Rattus norvegicus: one gene and its partner. The protein of the gene in region 1 purifies or fractionates together with the protein of each later gene. This does not show direct contact. Links are inferred from orthologs where the notes say so. Each region holds a gene or a part of one and is shown on either strand. Other genes may lie near its edges.

Region 1 (4,836 bases):
CAGAGAGAGTTCTCGCCATTGACCCCAGCAGGTTTTAGTAACCCGCAGCCATACCTGCCATGCTAGCTTGCCAGCCCCTATTTTCTGTCTCATCAGTGTAGTTATTTTTGAGCCGCCTTACTCTGTACTGGTTTTTGACCTTGTAGTGGCATTGTTTGATGCTATTTAGGCAACTTTAAAGTGGTGTTCTTGAGGGTAAATCTCATTTCCTTGTGTGTACTGTCGCAGTCCTGGACCACTGACTACAGCGCCCCTTCCTCCTCTCACTCACTTTGGGTTGCTGTAGATAGAGGTTCTCCTCCCTCCAAGTTTGCTTGTACTCGATGTTTTAAAACATCCCAAAGCCGAGGAGACTTGTCACTTGACCCAGTGTTGTACGAGTTTTCTGGAAACCTTTCACCTTTCTTTGTAGTAGCCCTGTAACATAATGCCGTGCTCCTTCTGCCTGGTTAAAGTGTGATGTCCGTTTGTGTAGCCACTTTGCTACTTCAGATGTAGGAGGTACCTGGCAAAGCAGGCTCCACGGTAGAGTTTTATTCAAATACAGATGTGTCTGGCTTTAGTTCCCATGTAAAGGCCTTTGTCTGCTGAGCTGAGCTGGAGCTAAGCAGTGGCTCCTGGACTTTGGTCCTGAGTCCCATTCACAAGAGCATGTTATCCCCAGTTATGGCCGTCCTAACACACAGACAGACAGACAAGTTATAACTCAAAAAAAAAAAATGCCCATTCGTTTAAAGACAAGATTGCTGTTCTTTCAATAGCTTTTTTTCCCTTTTCTGTATCCATGAAGCATTTTTCTCCAGGGGCCTGGAAACCATTGGCTTATGTGTAACTGTAGCTATCAGGAACCAGTTAGTGTCTGCTGATGGAAAAAAACATGGCGATGCCCCCTGTCCCCTGCTGCTACACTGTAGGTGGGCTCTGTATAGCGAGTCCCTCTTCCCCCACAGATACACGAAGGAGAGAGAGTGAGAAGTCTCTAGAAAATGAAACCCTCAATAAAGAAGAAGACTGTCACTCTCCAACCTCTAAGCCTCCTAAACCTGACCAGCCTCTAAAGGTAATGCCAGCCCCTCCACCAAAGGAGAATGCGTGGGTGAAGCGAAGCTCTAACCCTCCTGCTCGATCTCAGAGCTCAGACACAGAGCAGCCGTCCCCTACAAGGTGAGTGGCCTGTGACAGCAGCTGCTTAGCTGGAGGTGCCCTGAGGGAGTGTGGCCTGTGTGATATGGCAGATGAGGTTGCCTCCTGTATAATTCATACACTGTTGTCTCAAAACATGTTTTCCTGATTTTTGTTGGCCAGTTGACATCACTTTGATGGGTTAGGATCAACTATGGTGGGAGTATTTACCCCAGAAATACTAGACATGCTTTGCCCTGGGACATACAGTGTAACCCTGCTCACTTCAGTGAGTCTCTTCAGTTTTTCCCAGACTCCAGCTAACCATGCTGGATTTCCAAAGCATGTGACACTTAGTACAGAAGTGACTGTTTCGTTGTCTTTCCAGTATTCTAATATCTTAGTGTGGGATACCTACTACATTGGGAAAATGGTGTAAGCTTGTGTTTTCTGTAAAAATTGATGGCTGATGACTTGCTTTATTCCAGTGGTGGAGGGAAAGTTGCTCCAGCTCAGCCCTCTGAGGAAGGACCATCAAGGAAAGGTGAGCCCATGCCAGGAAAGAAGTAGATTTTTAATCCAGTTAAATCTTTGAGTGCAGGGGTTGGGGATTTAGCTCAGTGGTAGAGCGCTTACCTAGGAAGCGCAAGGCCCTGGGTTTGGCCCCAGCTCTGAAAAAAAGAACCAAAAAAAAAAAAAAATCTTTGAGTGCAAACACATCCAGTGGTGCCTTAGTCAGGGTTTCTATTTTGCACAAGCCTCATGCTCATGACCAAGAAGCAAGTTGGGGAGGAAAGGGTTTATTCAGCTTACACTTCCACATTGCTGTTCATCACCAAAGGAAGTCAGGACTGGAACTCAAGCCGGTCTGGAAGCTGATGCAGAGGCCATGGAGGGATGTTACTTACTGGCTTGCTTCCCCAGGCTTGCTCAGCTTTCTCTCTTTAATAGAACCCAAGACCACTCACATCACAACCCACAATGGGCTGGGTCCTCCCCCTTCATCACTAATTGAGAAAATGCCTTACAGCTGGGTCTCATGGAGGCATTTCCTCAAAGGAGACTCCTTTCTCTGTGAGAACCCCAACTTGTATCAGGTTGACACACAAAACCAGCCGGTACAAGGGGTTAAAATAACTGTAAAGAAGAACTCCAAGATTAAACACCTTGCCAAAGAATCTTTCTTTTTTGTTGTTTATCTAGGCAGGGTTTCTCTGGGTAGCCCTGGCTGTCCTGGAACTATGACCAGGCTGGCCTCTGCCTCCTGGGTGCTAGGATTAAAGATGTATGCCATCACCACCTAACCTAGCAAGAGACATTCTTTAATGAAAGCTGCAGTGTTTTTTCAGCTCTTTTGGTCAAGCACTTGGATGCATGTACATGGTGTATTTCAGTCATATTCATCGATGCAGCCCCGTTAGCCTCTCTACCCCTTCCCAGCCAGCTTCTACTTTCCATGGCTTTTGTGAGGGAGTGGCCTGCTGGAGTGGCTATACTAATGTTCTGTGAGCTAGCTTTTTCTGCCAGTAGAGGGCAGGAATGACTTCTTCAAAGAGTACTTGAAGCTGCCTCTTCATGGTAAAGCTTGCCTTTGTGGGGAAATTGGACAGGAATAAACGTATCTGTCCAGGTTCAAAACGTTGCCATTAGTAAACCAAGGTCACTACAGTAGGACTTTTAATGGAAAGAAAGGCCTTAGGCTGGTTTGGAGTGGGGGTAATTCCCCTTAATGAGTTCTTCATGTAAGGACAGGGAGATGGATTTCTGTATAAGCCTTGAGTTTGGTGTTGTGTTTCTCCTTGAACAGATGAAACTAAAGTGGATGGGGTGAGCACCACCAAAGGCCAGACTGGACACTCCAGCCGTGGTCCTGGGGATGGAGGGAGCAGAGACCACTGGAAGGAGTTGGATAGGTGTGTATATTTTTTCCTCACCGTTTATGAATCTGGTATCAGATGCGGGGATCTTTATGAAGTGGTTCTGGGCTTTCTCAAGTACTCCAGGTCTACCTCTGAACAAGCTAGAGTCCCGGTTAGATTTGTGGAGCTAAAGTGATGCATTGTCCTGGCCACAGTGTTGAATAGGATGCTTGTGTCTCTGCAGGAAGGACGGCAAAAAAGATCAAGACTCCAGATCTGCACCTGAGCCAAAGAAATCTGAGGAGAACCGAGCCTCTGTAAGTACCGTGCACACGCCTCTGCTGCTCAGTTCTGTGTCTGACTCCCTTTTCTTCAGTGGAAGTGAGGCATCGGTACTGTTCAGATCAGTGAGAAAAGCTAAGGTCGGCATTTGTTGTTGAAACCACCTTTCTCGGCTCCCATAAGGAGGAGATGTGTGGCTGAGTTCACTCGTGCCCCTGACCCTCCCTGACCGCTGTACCAGAACATGCTCTCCCAGAAGAATGGATGTGCCATGACATCGATGTTGTGTTTTTAGGTTTGGGTAGGAGAATCTTGGACTCTGTCCATGACCTTGTCCTCTCTCCTCTGTCACAGAAGTTCAGTTCTGCAAGCAAGTACGCTGCTCTGTCTGTGGACGGTGAGGATGAGGATGAGGGAGACGACTGCACTGAGTAGACCTCCACACCTGTGCTTTCTCCTTGTCTCCACCCTGGAACATTCAAGAGCAAATCAAACCTCTATCCAGACAAGACAAAATAAACTCACCATCTCCTGAAGACCTTTCTAAACTTTTTTTTTAATGAAATGAAATTCTTTTGCATGCTGCTGCAGCCTTTTAAAGTATTGGAGTAACTGGAGAATCACCATTGTAGCCAGAGATGCGGCTACCGCTTCTGAACAGGGAAGTTGTGTCTGATGATACCAAGCAGTTACCTGTGTGAATAGTGCCTGGGGCTCCATTCAGCAGAAATGCAGTGACAGAGAGGCAGTCACACCAGTTAGGCAGTAGAGAACGCAGGGAGAAGTGAGATTTCCACCTTCTAATTCTTATCCTAAGGTGGCACCTGTGAACCCCCACACATTACCTGAACAAACTTCCCATCCTTAGGTAGCTCTAGTCTCTCAAGCTGTTTTAGTCTCCAGGAGGCTGCCAACCCCTCTACTTTAGTTCTGACTTCAGTGGGGCCAGCCTAGGGAGAATTGTTTTTTGTTTTGTTTTTTTTTTTACCCCCCAAGGGGGTAGTTGGGAGTGAGTCTACAGGCCACTAACAGTAGCACCGCTTGGGGACCAAAATGAATGGGAAATTCAATCGTGGTTTGAAAAGCTTTGGGGAGGTGATCGATTATATTTTATACCAGGTAGTAAGGGAAATGGTGTGACCTCCAGTAACTACATGAATAGAGTGGTCGTTTCTGGATGAGGAAGCACTTACAGGTCGTGGGAAGTTCTAGTCTTGTGTGTCCTGGTTTTGCCCCTTCTAAACTGTCCTCTCTAGAGGTTTGAGCATATCCACATTCTTTGAAAACCTTGTCACTCTGGCCATCTCATGTTCTCCATGACACTTAGACTCCCAGAGCTGTCTCTGAGTCACACACCTCCACAGACATTGTATCTTGGCCACAAGAGCAGGGCCTGAGGACTCACTGCTTTTCCAGGCAGACCAGCTCTGTGCTTTCTTTATCTTTTGATTCCTGCCCTATCTGCTGCTGTCATCCCTGACTGATGGGCTTGGGTGGGGAATGGGGTGTAGACGGGGTGAGTTGGAGCCTTCAGCCTTCGAGTGTTTAAAGGTTTCTGTCTATAAGTTTCCTT
Region 2 (6,275 bases), on another chromosome or scaffold:
CAAAAAACAAAAAAAACCGAGATGGAGAGCAATTGAAGTTGGCATATGTTGACTTCTGGGCTCCACGTTTATCTGCACGTACAGTACACAAAAAAGGGGCATAGCCAATTAGCCTCAGGTGAGAGTAGGGCCTTAATTTCCTCTTTCCGTGAATCCAACCATCTTTGGAAGAGCCAAGAATAGACTTGCAGACAGAAAAGGGCATGGACAGGGACAGGCAAATAGCAAATATTAGCAAGCCTAAGTGGCTCTTTATGGAAGTACAGCAGTGGTGACCTAATGAACCTCTTAATCACTGTGTCCTTGTAAACATTGAAATCTCAATTTGAAGCTACAATGGCTGTCTAGTCCCAGGTTTGAAAAAGTAGGACAGCCTATTTTCGGTCGTGTCAACATGCTTTTAATCCCCGCCCTTGGAGGCAGAGACAGGCAGATGTCTTGAGTTCAAGTGCAGCCTGGTCTATAGAGTGAGTTCCAGGACAGAGAAACCCTGTCTTAAAAAACAAATAAAACTCTAGGACATCTCCCCATTCCTGTCATTCTTTTAGTTTTGTAATGGATAGGATGTCTACAAATTCCTCAGCAGACTTTCTATGCCCTCCCATTCTCTGCCCCAAAGTCATTATTTTGGGGGAGTTTGTGGGTTGTCAACAGGTGAAGACAGCCAAAAGAAAAAAGTAGGTGGGGAAGTACAGAGAATTAAAGTCATCACTGACCAGTAGAACTGAGAGCAAGAAAAGGGTAGCAGCCTAATAGGATGCTTCTCACCCAGAGAGACAACCTCCAGACTTTAAGGACATCTGGTAATATCTGGAGATACACTGCCTTTGTTCTGAGGGTTTTCTAGTAGTAGAGATCAGGGAACAGCTTAATACACCAAAGTGCTGCTTCTCACAAGAAAGAAATTGCAATGGTACTGAAGTCTGACATAGAGCCTGGTACACCTGTAACCTGTACTCCTAGCATTAGGGGGGCTATGGCAGGATGATCACCATGAGTTCAAGGCCAATCTGAGCTTCATGTTCAGAACTGAGACCCTATTTCAAAAAACACCAAAAGAACCCCTGGCCCATTCAATGGTTCTCACATGTTTGGCATTATATTTCCTTTATATTAAAGATTGAGGACGCCCAACGAATTTTTGCTTAGTCCAAGATACCCTCTGAATAATTCCACTGTGTATGCATGAAAATGAGTGAAGATACTGCAGAAATATTCTTGATTTTGTGAACCCTCCTGAGAGGGTTTCCTGAGCTGATAGCATGTGACCACAGTTTGAGGATCTACCTGGTGTTTAAGGACACAGTTCTGGAACTAGGTGTGCAGTGCTATGGCACATCCTAGCTGAGGACAAATGATATCACATTTCTGACTGTCGGCTTCCTGCATTGTTACTCATGGGCAAAAAACAAAATACACTTATCGCCATCCAAGGCTACTATTTAAATCCAACAAGTAAGTCACTTAAACTGGGCAGAGTCACTATTTGTTTTGCCTCCAACAAACACATCAGATTTGTCTCTAGTTCAAGAAGCTGAGTGTTGAAGTGCATGCCTGCAATCCTTCATTTTTGAGGCTGAGGCAGGAGGATCAAGGCAAATCATTTGCCATCTTGGGCTTCATAGAGTTGGAGGAAATTCTGGGCAATTTAGCAAAAGGCCCTGTCTCAAAGACAGAAAAGACAAACACACAAACACACACACACACCACAGAGCCACACCCTAGTTCAGGCTCTCAGGCAGATAGTAAACTCTATTTGATAAAAACAAACAAACAAACAAACAAAAAACTACTTTACTTCATGTATATAAATGTTGTTTACCCTGTATCCATATATGTGTACCATATATGTGTACCTTGTACATTTCCTTATATCCGCTGTTATGGATGGTTGTGAGCCACCATGTGAGTGCTGGGAATTGAACCCCTATCTTCTTCGAGAGCAAGGAGTGCCCTTAACCTCTGAGCCATCTCTCTAGACCATACATTTTTGGTTTTGATGGACATGAAAGGTAATTCTAGTTAGGCTAACAGAAATGCTGCTTTCACAATAGGGGTCTGCAGTGAAAGACTTGCCCTGAGCATTCCTTGTGAGGCTCTAAACACACACATTTGCTCAGTTTGGAAACCTTTGGCCTCCACCTTTTCACCTGGTGCCCTGGTGTTAGAGAATTCCACAAGGCACTAACGTCTTAGTTCTAAACTAGAGGGTTAACCCCTGGTATTGGTTACAGAGACCACAGACCACCACCCAATTTTGACCAAATTGTGACGATTCCAAGATGGCAGTAGCCCCCTGATTGTTGGGGGGCTCTGCTTCCGTTTCCGGGACAGAATCCGGAAGTGCCAGTTGAGGGTCGTCTTCCTATCTTCAGTTGCGTCGGCAGTTGGAGGAGGACGGACGGTGATGGCGGCGGTCGCAGCGGACCCAGCTGCAGCTGCCGTCCCGGCCTCTGCTGAGGACAGAGAGACACAGCCCGAGGCAATGCCAGACCTGGATCAACAGTGGCGCCAAATCGGGAATGGGCGAGAGCGTCCACTGCGAGCTGGCGAAAGCTGGTGAGGCTGGGCTTCAATGAAGCCTTGGCCAAGGGGACCGTGGGGTTGTTAGTATCGCGGGGTACTTAGAAATCAAATTCTGAGGATGAAGCGGTGCGAGGCGGGGAAGGGGCTCGGGCTGGCGGTAGAGAGGGGGCGTGGAGGTGCTAAGTGAATGAATCTCAACCTTTAGGGAAGAGGCGGGGCCCGAGTGGGGCAGTCAGCCGCCTGAGGACAAAATGGGGTTTTTGGTAGAGGTGGGGTGGGAAGGGAATGACCATGGGAGTCGGGACTGCATCATTTGGGGAGGGGGGTGAGAGGGGACTGCGTCTGGGGGAACCTGGAGCCTGGAAAGGAGGCTGGCTCCATACTTAAGGCGGGGGCGTGGCGTGTGTTACGAAACGTTGCGTCGGTTGAAAGGAACGGCCTACGAGTACTCGAAGCGCCTGTGAACCCAGCGAGCTTGGTGGCGTCCGCTGAAGAGCAACTCCATAGCCTATAGCTGTGGGCCGAGGGGCGGAGGAGTGTGGTACAGGGGAGGGTGCCTGGCTCCTGGGAACGAGGTGAAGGTCTGGGGAGGGGCAAACTGTGGAGGAGGGGCAGTGCCTCGGGCAGAAAATGGCGCCTGCAAAAGAGCAAAGATTGTGACGCGGTATTTTTTTGTTTTTTGTTTTTGTTTTCTTGATTATTTTCCCCCCGTAGCTAAGGTCTCCTTCCTAGAACAGGAGAAAGCAAAGGCGATTTACAAAAGGTTATTTGGGAAATTTTCTTCTACGTGATAATATTTTGTAATCAGTAGAAATGGGTATTTAAAAAGAATCCACAGCTTTTGACAAATTGTCAGACCGATTTTTAAAAAATGCTAATCAGTGCCTCTTAAAATTTACTGCTCCCCGGGTTTCTTTCTGAGTTGCTTCTCGTTTATTTTTAAATTGTGAAAATCATAAGACCTACAAAGATGATAGTATAAAACATTTTACATAAATTGATGGACATCCTGCTGAAAGGAATGGTTTGTATGCTTCAAAAATGGCAAGGCCGTGAAAGACATATGCTGAAGAACTGTTCCAGATTGAAGGAATTAATGCAGTTTAACAATTCTATGCAACACATAATTTGGATCCTAGAACAGGAAAAATAAATTATTTTTTAAAATGAGGGTTCTTTCTCATAATTTATTTCTCTTTCACTATAAATTTTACTGGAAAACAATTGGTGAAATTTGACTGAGGCCAGTATATAAAATATTGGTACTGATAATTTTTTTGTTTGTGATAATTGTAATGTTCTGAAAGAATATCCCTTGTTTGGTGAAAAATACAGACTGAAAATTTAGGGATAAGGAACCATTCATTGTGTAAACAACTTACCAAATAATTGAAAAACTATCTTATGTTAAAATGCACATGGGAGGGAGAAAGCTATGGAAATACTACTGGTCATAGGGTGCAAATTTTAGTTAGACAAGAGGAACAAATTCAAGAGCTTCCTTGTACAAAATGGTGTTTAGAGCTAATAACATCCTATTCTATACATGAAAATTGCTTAATATTTACATGATCTTACACCAATAAATATGTGGCATAATTAGTATGTTAAGTAGTTTGACTTAGTGTTTTACAATGTATATATCAAAACATCATGCTGTATACCATCATTGCACACTTTTTGTCTAGTTTAAGATAAATGAAAATATCCTCAGAGATGATATGGGGAAAAAAAGAATAGAACAAATGGATAAAGTGTGTCCGATTTGGGGAATCTAAGGGCATACAGAGAAGTCTTTGTATTATTTTGTCCCCTCTTTTTAGACACAGGGTCTCTAGTCCTGGCCGTCAGGGAAGTCACTATACCAGGCTGACATTGAACTCAGAAATCTGGCTGAGATTACAGGTGTACTCCACCATGCCTGGCTTTTTTAAAAACCCATTTTCAGTGAGTTTACTTCAAAGAAAAATTACTAAATTTAAATGTGGATTCATCATCACTCATGTGAAGATTCAGAACATTACCTTAAAACAATCATATTGCTTCTCCCAGATAGAAATTCCCCTCCATTGTCATAGGAAACGAGCACCCTAAATTTTGAATTAAAGGTCTCTTTTCACATTTCATTATCATAATAAACTTCCAGTATTCATATATAAATTTGTATATGTAGACATATACTATATATACAAATGTGTTTATGAAATAGACCATATACATACTGTAAGCTCTTATATTATTACATGGTAAATAGTATCTTTATGATGTAATTTGAGACATTAACCTTGATTGGTTGGTTATAGCTCTGCCAGGTTTCTCAAATGTTAAGACACTGTTTTTCTCTTAAGCAGTAACTTTAAAATAGATATTTAAATTTTTATTTATATGTTATGTCCATCTGTTCCTCAAGATGTCCAAGAGCTTCCTGTCTCATGCAGTATAAATGGTAAAATCCTGAGTGACCTGCAAGGCTTTTGGAGGCTGGTACCCTTTCTCTCTAATCTCTCTCAGCATCAGCCCAAAAGCCCCCTTCCTCTCTCCATCAGGGACATCCACATTAGACTATTGATGTTCTTTACACTTTAGGACCTTTTCCAGGTTTTCCCACTTTACAGGCTTCCTAAACAACACTGCCAGTGAAATGTGTATGCATTACTAGGGAGATAAATTACAATTCCAAAACTAAAGGATATAGTGACGTCTTTCTGCCATTATCTCATAGTTCTCCAGCAAAGACTAGCCTCAATCCATCCTGAAAACAACAGTAACCATACTGTTTTTATAACTCATTTGGAGATGTACAGACAGTTCTCAAAGCTTTGGTTTATGCCTCTTTCCTACATTGACAGATGTGCCATGATTGTGTTAGTGGTAGATAACACATGATCCTGTCATCCTTACCAATAGCCTTTTAAATTAGCCTGCCAGGAGAGGATCTTTTTGGGGGTGAGGAGACATTTGAAAGTAAGTAGAGGTGGTGGGTACACAACATTGTGAATGTACTAAATGTTAATGATTGTTCACTTTAAAATGGGTTAATTTTATGTTAACTTCACCTCATTAAAAATAATTACCACACCAGTGTTGGTTGAGTATTAAAGCCAATTTGTTTCTCCTGTTGGAATTGTTATGAAGCATTTTGCCAAGCTCCACTTTTTGATGCTTATCTAAATTAGGTAAGAGCAAAGTATCTCAGAGTTCTATATGGGTTTGTGTCACAGTTGAGAAATATGTATTTATAAAGCATCTGAATTCAAGGACTAGCTTCAAATCATACATCTGTCAGTATTATCTGCACTTCCCACCCTTAGTTTAATAATAGATTAAAAACAATTCCAGTTAATTAATTTGGTCATGTTTACTGATTAAATTTCTTAGATGCATTTATTTGGGGGCAGGGTGGGGTACAGCATGTGCTGGAGGAGGTCAGAAAACTACTTGTAGGACACAGTTCCCTGTATTTTCTGGGGGATCAAATTCAGGTCAGCAAGCTTGGCAGCAAGCACCTTTACCTACTATACCATCTTACCCACCTTACACCTTATTTTTTGCTACAGGGCTTTTCATTGAACCTGGACCTCTGTTTTAGACTGGCCAGCAAACCTCTGGGATTTTGTCTCCATGCCCACCTCAAGTGTTAAGATTACCACTATGCCAAACTTTGTTTTTTCAAGACAGTAGCTTTGGCTGTCCTGGAACTCACTTTGTATACCAGGCTGGCCTCAAAGTCGCAGAGATCTACCTGCCTC

The links.
Region 2: the proteins of Eif4b (region 1) and Usp11 purify together in Homo sapiens (affinity purification with western blotting; 3 studies listed by BioGRID, with this or other methods). This does not show direct contact. The link is inferred for Rattus norvegicus from reciprocal best matches to the Homo sapiens genes EIF4B and USP11.

The regions. Positions count from the first base shown.
Region 1 is NC_086025.1:135,101,547-135,106,382, forward strand, and holds part of Eif4b (eukaryotic translation initiation factor 4B), read left to right. Parts: intron 1-950; coding exon 951-1,164; intron 1,165-1,610; coding exon 1,611-1,666; intron 1,667-1,906; exon of another isoform or gene 1,907-2,259; intron 2,260-2,929; coding exon 2,930-3,035; intron 3,036-3,056; exon of another isoform or gene 3,057-3,225; coding exon 3,226-3,298; exon of another isoform or gene 3,299-3,617; coding exon 3,618-3,698; 3' UTR 3,699-4,836. UniProt on the Homo sapiens protein: Required for the binding of mRNA to ribosomes. Functions in close association with EIF4-F and EIF4-A. Binds near the 5'-terminal cap of mRNA in presence of EIF-4F and ATP.
Region 2 is NC_086039.1:4,039,160-4,045,434, reverse strand, and holds the start of Usp11 (ubiquitin carboxyl-terminal hydrolase 11), read left to right. Parts: upstream 1-2,398; 5' UTR 2,399-2,407; coding exon 2,408-2,559; intron 2,560-6,275.